Linked DNA regions of Arabidopsis thaliana. The protein of the gene in region 2 purifies or fractionates together with the protein of the main gene of each other region. This does not show direct contact. Each region holds a gene or a part of one and is shown on either strand. Other genes may lie near its edges.

Region 1 (5,708 bases), on a different chromosome or scaffold from region 2:
ATTCTTTGTTATTCAGATATATAGACCAAAACCAAAATTACTTCAAAATTTTTGGTTCCTAATCGGTTCTTGATCTTTCAACTATCAAGAAATGTATATAAAAAGCAAACAAAATTAGACTTGAATTATCGAGATAAGTTCAATAGTTTGGGTGAAAAAAAAAAAGTTCAATAGTAAAAAAAGTTCAATAGTTTTTTTTTTTTTTTTTTTTTTTGATGAAAAAAAAAAAAAGTTCAATAGTTTGGGTAATAAAATCTATATCTATGTGGATGTGATGAAATGACTAACATACTTCAGTTGCATGATCATGATTATGAATATAGATTCACCCATGATATTTATATGCATTTTGCAAGAAGAGTGCATATCACATTACATGTATCAAAAGATTTATAAAAAAATCGTTCACTACATTTTCTTTAAAAATCTCACCCTCAAGTAAAATATTATGTTAAAATTGTCAATCACTTGCATAGAGATAATTGGCGATGAAAGCTTTTTTAAAATGGCGATGAAGTTTGATAAAGGTTCACAGGAAAAATATTACTTGCATAATGTTAATTGATTTCACTTATGAAATAAAAAGAAAATAAGGTCGATTAAGATAATTATATGAACCGAAGAAGAGAATACAAAGGAATGCTTCGGTAAGGGTTTTCGGAATCGAATAAAGGTGACGGTTCGGTCTAAGTGGGTTATTTTAAATGTGGGTGATGGTTCTTGTCCCTTCACGTTTGGGAATAGTGGCCAAACTCGGTCTCTATAGCTGTCCGTAGACGCTCTCTTATCGTCGGATGTGTTTAGGTTTGCATCAAGTCTTCAGAGAAACTGTAAACATCTTTTTGTTATGAGGTTTGAGGGCTGATCATGACTCCGTTTTTATTGTTTTATCTGATAATTTTGTGTAATGTGACATAAATATAAGTCCAATTTTATTGTTTTTGGAAAATGATATAAAAGCGTGCATTTAGATTCTTGGGCCCATCGATGAGTGGATAAGTAATAAAAATTAGTATGGTTTTCTTATTTCCCATGACGTTTTATTTTTCGATCCATTATCAAGCTTAAGATAGGATTGGCCCAACTTTATCGTTGATTTGCAAGCTTCTGTTTTATTATTAGTTGTGACGTTGCTTTCACCAAATTTTTCTATGCAAGTTCAAAATATTGAATGGGAAAATAATTAATGGTAGTATTATACATTATGTAAAATGACTCTAATATGTTCGAAACAAACTTAGACAAAACAACAATAAACCACCATGAATGTAATAACGAATAAATCAAAACCAAACCCATAAAGTATTAATTGACATTGACTTGTTATTGCGACTTGTGTGAAAGTAAATAATACAAAGTTACAAACGGTCGATTGCGGTATGACACGTAGTAACTAGTAAGTCATCTAGAAAACGTTTTCCTCTAGATAGGTTGATGACAAAATTTTAAGGGGACAATAATTTGATGTATCTTTCAACCCCAGTTCAAAAGAGTGTAGGAATAAATGGAAATGTTTTGTTTATACATTGAACTTGACCACTTTGTTGTTGCGTGAAAATGACCACAACCTCTAACAATAAAGTTCTTTTATCTTTATCGTTAGCCGTTACATAAACATGATGATAACACTTAAAATTATTGGATGGGATGTGTACACGAAACATGTGAAAATGGAATAAGATTTTTTTTGAAAGTTATTTTTCTTTTATATTCGCATTATTACAAAAATATATTAGTGAATAATAAATGACTAGATTGACTGTTTCATTTATTTAAAGACAACATTGTGGTCAAGACAACATTGGAAATTACATAATTTAATTCATATAAACAATTTTATGAATATATTAAAATAAAAATAGTTATTATTATTATGAAACATATAATGTATCACTACAGACGATAAAGGATTTGATTTTTTCAAATGGTAAGTTCATAACTTCCCAAATTACTATAAATAAGTGTTAAAGTTAGTCATTATCAAATTAAGCCACTCCACTAATTACAAGCTCCAAAAGCTTTCTCCTTCTTTTTCTCTCTAATCTCTATTTCGTACGGATTTCTCTAACCGGAGCGATGGAGATTGACGGTGGAGATCGTATTTCCGGTGAACGACCGATCATTATGGTCACCAACGACGACGGAATAGACGCGCCTGGCCTTCGTTCTCTTGTTCGTGTCCTCGTCTCCACTAACCTCTACGATGTTCGCGTTTGCGCTCCTGATTCGTACGTTTTACTCTAATTTTTGTAGAAATGTAGCTCAAATCTCCTTTGGTATACGATCGAATCGCTCCTATATGATGGTTATGTACGAATTGAATTTCTCTAGATATCGATTTCGAGTTTCTGGACTCATTTAGAAATGCTAATCGTTTGATATAATCTTCTCGAAGAAATCTATTTATGTGTTTAGTTTTGTACATCAGATTCTTTCTCTTTTCATTGTTTTTGTTTTGCTTTGTGGAGGTACATGTGTAACTCTTACTTGTTTATGAAATTTTCCAGGGAGAAATCTGCTGTTAGTCACAGTATAATATGGAGTAGACCACTCACTGCAAAACGAGTAGAGATCGATGGAGCTACTGCTTATTCTGTTGATGGTTTGTTTCTATTGTTAATCATATGGTGTTGAATGATATGATATTGTTTGGCTTGTTTGTTACATTTGTTGGCTCTTGTCTTTTATCCTTTGGATAACATATGGTTTTGTATGCTCTGAAGGAACTCCTGCGGATTGCACTGGTTTGGGCTTATCGGAAGCACTCTTTCCTTCTCGTCCTGACCTGGTAAACCATATTATTTGTGTGTCCCTGTAAAAGCCTTCTGATGTAATGTTAGTTTTAAATGATGTGCCAATAGATCTTTCGATTTGTTTTTAATAACTTAAACTTCTGCTTAATTTTATAGGAAACATCTAAGATTTGTTGGTCTTTGTAGTGTTTTTTTTTCCTTCTATTGTCTTTTCTGGAGATTGTGAATTTGTGATGTATGATTGTTTTCTCCATGCAGGTTCTGAGTGGTATAAACGTGGGTAGCAACTGCGGTTATAACATGTCGGTGAACATTTCCTCCTCTGTTTCTCTTTGTTTTGGTTTCCTATTTCCTTACTATGTTATGTTTTTGTACAGATTATTAGGGTGCAACTGTTATTTGTCCGTTTTAAAAATTGCATTTTAAACTTTATAAAACTACCAAAATTGCTGAAACTTTGTTTAGGATTAGAACAAGATTTTGAGAGTATAGTAAGAGAAACTCTAGTTAGATTGTTTCACTGGAAACCAGATTTCTTCTATGGCCAATTCAAATTGTTATAGACCATGTTATGCTTCTATGGTTCCTGCCTGAGTTTATCAAACTAGCACTTACCTGGCTGTTAATTCCATCCCAGCGTCTATTCTGGAACTGTTGCTGGCGCTCGTGAAGCCTTCCTTTATGATGTGCCTTCTGCCTCCATATCATATGATTTTGATTGGTAAGAGCTTAATGTCTTACTTGCAGAGATTTTGCGTCTTACTTTTAAAAAGTTTCATAACATGTTTGTTATTTCTTCTATGTTTGTGTTACACTCCTAATTTTTTTTAAGCCTCCATACGGTTTTATTGATACCATCTTCTCTTTTTGCCACTAAATGTCTTCTATTTTATTCACCCTTAATGCTATAGGAAACGTGGAGAGATGAATGCTAATGATTTTGCCCTTTCTGCCCAAGCCTGCTTGCCCATTATCAACGGCATACTCGGTGCAATCAAGAACAAAACTCACCCTATGCAATGCTTTCTGAATATCGATTTGCCGACTGATATTGCTAACCACAAGGTAAGTCTCGTCGCAGCTTTCAACAGACATTCTCTAATGCCTACACCTAACTATACCTCTGAGTTTTATATGACTGACTCTTCTTTCCAAATAAAAAGGGATACAAACTAACTAGACAAGGTAAAAGCATGGGTAAAATGGGATGGAGACAAGTGGAAGAGGAAGCACAAGGGCCGAAGATGTTATCAACAATGACAATGGATACAGAGTCAGGAGTAGTCTCATCAGAGAACGACACATCTGCTCATGCGGGAAAAGATAGCCGTTTATTCAAAAGAGAGGTATATCATTAATGATTAATCACTATTGTTTCTGCTCTTACTTTCTTTTGAATTCATGAAATTGTGTACCTTCTTGCTCTGTTTGTTGTTAGTTAAGGGCAAGCATCAGTGAAGAAGGGAGTGATTCTCATTACCTAAAAGAAGGATTTGTAAGCATATCTCCCATAGTTGTCTCTTTAACTCATCTCCACTCATCCAAACTTCAAAAAGAAACAAACATTCTTTTAAAATACTGCAGATTACGGTGACGCCGCTTGGAGCTCTATCTCAGACTGATGTGGATTGCCAAAACTACTACAAAGAATGGCTTCCCAAGATTACAAACCAGTCATGCTCCTCCTCATCCCTTTGATGCTACAACATGAGAGAAAATAAAAACTCTATTAGGAAATTACCCATTGTGGACCACAATTTGTGGTAGACCTATTATTATATCAGTACCAGTTCTTTAGTTTTCTTAAGTCTTGACTTACTATTGTTGTGAGCAGCAAAATAGTTGTTGTTACAAGTCCATTAATTATCGTGAGCAGCAAAATAGATATCGAGTCCGCGACATATGTTGAAATATCAAGGATTCTTAACAAAAGCGATCAATCCATTTGAATATAATTTGTGCATTAGAGAATTGAGTTAACGTAAACAAAGTTCAAGCGCTGGCGGCAGAACCTGATATTGCAGTAACATCATCATGTGTGCAAGTGGGGGATTAGTAATCTTCATCTTGCATAATCCTTGTTTTATACTTCAAGCTATGACCTATATATTTATTATTTATACATCCGATTCGAATATTAAGTTTGCTCCCGTGAATTAGAAGGAAGAGTACATAATATGTCACGTGATAATTATTTTTCATCTTTACGTTTCTCATATGGTTCTCATTCAACGACTTTCCAAGTCGGACTATATATGTTTTTAATTATTAATCATATATAGAGACGCTCCTACAAAACACATAAACATATAGGTGCATGCATATAAATGTAAATGTATTGTTGTCGTCTACTTCAATAACAACTCCATCAATGAACACATCAATACTTGCCATACTTTTTCTCATACAATGTGTTTTCACTCTTGGTCTCCATTTCCACCCACTTGATCCCTTAACTCCCCAAGAAATCAACAAAACAAGCTTTATCGTCAAGAAATCTCATCTAGGCAACCTCAAAGATCTCACATTTCATTATCTCGACCTCGAAGAACCAAACAAGAGCCACGTCCTCCAATGGCTATCACCAAATCCCTCCAAGAAACCACCACCCCCACGTCGTCGCTCATTCGTCGTGGTTCGAGCCGGTGGTCAAACCTACGAGCTCATCATCGACCTAACCACGAGCAAGATTGCATCCTCCCGCATCTACACAGGCCATGGTTTCCCCTCATTCACATTCATAGAGCTTTTCAAAGCAAGCAAGCTTCCTCTAACTTACCCACCTTTCAAGAAATCGATTCTCGATCGATCCCTAAACATCTCCGAGGTTTCTTGCATCCCTTTCACCGTTGGTTGGTACGGAGAAACCACCACGAGACGTGAACTCAAAGCCTCTTGCTTTTACAGAGACGGATCAGTCAACGTCTTCACAAGACCCATCGAAGGAATCACCGT
Region 2 (4,838 bases):
GTAGAAACTTGAAACCATGTTTATGATTTTAGCTAGTTAGGTCTTGTTTTGTCTTTCCTTTTGCTTTATCTGCTTGATTCTGCTGGATTTTGTAAAGTGGTTATGTTTATGTCAAAAACTGAAACCATGTTTATGCTTTTAGCTAGTTAAGTCTTGTTTTGTTTTTCTTTTTTCTTTATCTGCTTGATTCTTCTGAATGTGTTCTTCTACTGGATTCTACTTCAAACCAGGGATAAGTAATCGAAGATGGATATGAATCAGCTATTCATGCAATCTATTGCAAACAGTCGTGGACTCTGTCATCCAGATTGCGAAAAAGCAAATAATGAGCGTGAAGATTATGGTAAATAATCAAATCTTTAATCTAGAGAAATTTACTTTCTTCGCATCATTTAAAGAAACGGTGATTGATTTTAACTGATTGTTTGCTTCCGTTTTTAATGTAACATGTTCAATCTAATCTTTTGAAAAAATCATATGAATTGACTGCAACGTTTTCATCTTTTTTTTGTCTTCCAGATGCGTCTCAACATGCCGCTATGGTAGCGGTGAATCTGATTAGCTCTGCACGGGTTATCCTCAAGCTTGATGCTGTGTATACTGAGTACTCAGCTCAGTATTTGGTGGATAATGCTGGGAAGGAAGACAACCAGGGAGAAATGGATCAACAAAGCTCTCAGCTCACTCTCCAAAACTTGCTTCAGTATATGGATGAAAATGTCTGGAATAAGAAGGAAGATGTGCAGGGAGAAAGGGAGCAACCACTCACTGTCAAAGACTGCCTTGAATGTGCTTTCAAGTAAGGGCTACCGAGAAGTGAGCAGTGGGCACATGTGGGATGTCCGTTCAAGGCTCCACCATTTGCCTGTCAGATTCCTCGCGTGCCCATGAAAGGAGAAGTGATTGAGACTAAGAGTTTGGATGAAGCGTTTAAGCTGTTGATTAAACAACCGGTGGGAGCAAGACTCCATGTCTTCAGTCCAGAGCTTGATAATGTTGGAGAGGTAATGTGTTGTTAGATAAATTTCGAATTTTCAGAGATCAATGACAAAGTTTTGATCTAATCTTGTTCAACTTTTTTGTTTGTGTGGTAGGGATTTTACGAGGGCCTGTCTAGCCAGTCTAGTAAGGAATCACGCTATGTTGGACTTAGGGATGTAATCATAGTTGCAGTGGATAAGTCCGAGGGAAAAACTGTTGCTACTGTGAAGATCTGTTACAAGAAGAAGACTTCATTTGTCAAAGTGCTTGTGAGCCGTATGTTTGTCCAGCTTGGTGGTGGTGAGGAGTCTCAGGTGAAAGAGCCAGCAGGTCTGCTTGTTGACTTCTGTATCCCACGCTTATCTGTCAACTAAACAAGAGCTGAGATCTTATCTGCTAGTTGTGGAACCTCTCTATGTTGGTCTTATTTTAAGAATGTTTTATCAGACTTATTTTCTGTTATCTTGAAAACCGTATGCTTGTTGTGAAACCCTGGTTGTTGTTTGAAGTTAAGATTGTTTTATGAGACTTTTATCTGTGTGTTTAGAAGTTATTGGTCGCGCTACTTTCTAAATTATGTAGTATCCATCTGCTTAAATGTGACGCCAATTGGGCATTACGCATTCTCCCAAAATCCAAGTCATGATGAAGCTTTTTTTCGTTGAAAAACTTTCTGCGATTAGCATTAACACCATTGTGTCTCACACATAACGTGACAGTCACATTTGAATATTGTAACCTCTTGAACAACTCTTTCCTCGAGGGAAAAGGTTGACCTAACTCGAGCTAAATAACGTTTGATCTATCTTCTTTCTGGATCATCTTCCCTGTAGCGCAGTTACAGAGATGAAGGCATCTTCAGGACAAGGGATCGTTAAGCCACATATCGGATGATCGTACCCAAACACTTCCTCTGATTTACTGAGAAGAGCTTGACATGAAGGCTGGTTCAAGTATGATAGTGGCACCATATATCTCTTCTTCTGGACCTGGTCAAATAAACTAATGTAACAATTACATAGTCAAATAAAAATGCTTCCTTTTATGTCAAAAAAGCTTACTTTACGTTGATTAGCTTCATTTCTCCTCCTTCTCTGTTTCTCTCACAAGTACCATGGACGAGATCCAAATAGCTTCAATCCTCAAATCATCTGAGCTTTTTCCGATTCCACAAGGCGTCAAGCTTTCGTATGGAACAGCTGGATTCAGAGGCGATGCAAAGTTATTGGAATCAACTGTGTATAGAGTTGGGATTCTCTCAGCTCTCCGATCACTTAAGCTTGGATCAGCCACCGTCGGGCTTATGATCACAGCTTCGCATAACAAAGTCTCTGACAATGGCATTAAAGTTTCAGATCCATCTGGTTTTATGCTTTCTCAGGAATGGGAGCCTTTTGCAGATCAGATCGCTAACGCATCTTCTCCTGAAGAACTCGTTTCGTTGATTAGAAAATTCATGGAGAAGGAAGAGATTGCAATCGGAGAGAATAATAAAGGTGCAGAGGTTTGGTTGGGAAGAGATACTAGACCTAGTGGTGAATCACTTCTCAGAGCTGGTGAGATCGGAGTTGGTTCAATTTTGGGATCTGTTGCGATTGACATTGGGATTTTGACAACTCCGCAATTGCATTGGATGGTTAGAGCTAAGAATAAAGGTCTTAAGGCAACTGAGAATGATTACTTTGAGAATCTATCTACTTCGTTTAGGTGTTTGATTGATTTGATTCCAAGCAGTGGAAATGATAAGTTAGAGATTAGCAAATTGCTTGTAGATGGTGCTAATGGTGTAGGTGGACAGAAGATTGAGAAGCTAAGAGGGTCTTTGAGTAATTTAGATGTTGAGATTCGTAACACAGGGAGAGATGGTGGTGTGCTTAATGAAGGTGTAGGTGCTGATTTTGTGCAGAAAGAAAAGGTTTTGCCTGTAGGATTTGGGTTTAAGGATGTTGGGATGAGGTGTGCGAGTTTGGATGGTGATGCAGATCGATTGGTTTACTTTTACATTCCTTCAGATTCTTCTGAAAAGGTTGAGCTACTTGACGGTGATAAGATTCTGTCTTTGTTTGCTCTCTTCATCAAAGAGCAACTAAATGCTCTGGAGGATGATGAAGAAAGGAAGCAGTCTCGTCTTGGTGTTGTGCAGACAGCTTACGCGAATGGTGCGTCTACTGATTACCTAAAGCATTTGGGTTTAGATGTTGTTTTTGCTAAAACTGGAGTTAAGCATTTACACGAGAAAGCAGCAGAGTTTGATATTGGAATCTACTTTGAAGCTAATGGCCACGGGACTATTCTCTTCTCGGAATCTTTCCTATCTTGGTTAGTTTCCAAACAAAAGGATCTTACGGCTAAAGGTCAGGGTGGTTCTGAAGAGCACAAAGCTGTTTCTAGACTAATGGCGGTGAGTAATCTGATTAACCAAGCGGTAGGTGATGCTCTAAGTGGAGTGCTCTTGGTTGAAGTGATTCTACAACACCTGGGATGGTCGATAGAGAAGTGGAATGAGCTATACAAGGACCTTCCTAGCAGGCAGATCAAGGTCGAAGTTCCAGATAGAACAGCGGTTGTGACCACAAGCGAAGAAACCGAGGCTCTGAGACCTATGGGGATTCAAGATGCTATTAATTCTGAAATCAAGAAGTACTCGCGTGGCAGAGCTTTTATAAGGCCATCGGGTACAGAAGATGTGGTGAGAGTATATGCAGAGGCTTCCACTCAAGAAGATGCTGATTCTTTGGCTAATTCTGTGGCTCAGCTCGTCAAAAGCTTCCTTGGTTCAAGCTAAAGAACCATCTGAATTTCTGCAAGAGTATGTTAATGGGAGATTTTTTTAATTTTCTTGTTCACCTCTTAGCTTTTACATCTTTTGTGTAACCCGAATGACAAGTTTTCTTCTCAGCTTCTTTTGATTTACTTCGTTTCTCTTCTAGCTCTTCTGCTTCTTTCTCCTCAACGTAAACCTGTAAATGCTTTACTTTCCTGAAAAGAATCAGCAACGCCATTACTCTTTTTTATTAATGAAGCTCTAAGAACAGAATGTTTCTTCTCCTGAAATTGTGTAAGGGAAAGATAGTTGTTAAGGAATCAGTAGCAGCTACTTTATAGTAAGATCATAACAATGGTGTACTTGAAGAAACGTTATGCCGTAATCTTTGGCTTAAGAGGGAACATAGCTCATGCCTTTTGTTTTCCTGTCCTATCTCTAATCAACTTGGTCTCCGACAGTGACTTCACAACAAACCTACCACAGAATCTTCTTTTACTTACAACTTTCATGTGAGATCCTATTTGTGGGTATGATAAAAGAACAACTTAACCAGTGACAGGGACTTGTTGTTATGTTGTTGAGAAACTTCAGGTCCCCACTTTAAGTTGTTATTAAATCCATTTAGACCAAAGAGATTAGAGAATAGGATCATCACTGAACATGGAGAAGAGAGAAACTTGCTGGCTTTTATTATTGACAATAGCATATGTCATATCTAAAAAACATTGAGAAGACAGTCCCTTGTGAATTGCATATGAAGTTTGTAGTTTAATGTCCCACACACTCCAATAATTATGTCATCAAAACAAATTTCATTAATGCATCTTTCCAAATGGTAAAGACAAAGCCATGTTCTCTGTTTTAGTATGTCCAACGCGTCAAAACCACAAGTTTCAATGATTTTTTCAGAGAAATTTCAACTCCTTAGTTGATCTTGCTATATATATACTCACATAACTCACTCTTTCAATCATCAACCAACAACAAGAAATCCAATAACTTGAATCTTTTCATACATCTTCAGAAGCTTCAAAAAGAATTCAAACATTTTAAACAAAAAAACAATAGATATGGCTTTCGTGAGAAGTCT

Evidence for each region.
Region 1: the proteins of DRT101 (region 2) and AT4G14930 fractionate together in Arabidopsis thaliana (co-fractionation; one large-scale study listed by BioGRID). This does not show direct contact.

The regions. Positions count from the first base shown.
Region 1 is NC_003075.7:8,536,755-8,542,462, forward strand, and holds AT4G14930 (Survival protein SurE-like phosphatase/nucleotidase), read left to right. Parts: upstream 1-1,831; 5' UTR 1,832-2,076; coding exon 2,077-2,228; intron 2,229-2,507; coding exon 2,508-2,602; intron 2,603-2,723; coding exon 2,724-2,788; intron 2,789-3,011; coding exon 3,012-3,055; intron 3,056-3,390; coding exon 3,391-3,474; intron 3,475-3,664; coding exon 3,665-3,818; intron 3,819-3,916; coding exon 3,917-4,099; intron 4,100-4,191; coding exon 4,192-4,248; coding exon of another isoform or gene 4,249-4,337; coding exon 4,338-4,451; 3' UTR 4,452-5,124; downstream 5,125-5,708. Other genes in the region: AO1 (amine oxidase 1), read left to right, coding at 5,125-5,708.
Region 2 is NC_003076.8:5,979,022-5,983,859, forward strand, and holds DRT101 (phosphoglucosamine mutase-like protein), read left to right. Parts: upstream 1-1,747; 5' UTR 1,748-2,095; coding exon 2,096-3,766; 3' UTR 3,767-4,114; downstream 4,115-4,838. Other genes in the region: AT5G18065 (target of trans acting-siR480/255 protein), read left to right, coding at 247-343, 520-803; SAUR24 (SAUR-like auxin-responsive protein family), read left to right, coding at 4,819-4,838. UniProt on the Arabidopsis thaliana protein: Interconverts GlcNAc-6-P and GlcNAc-1-P.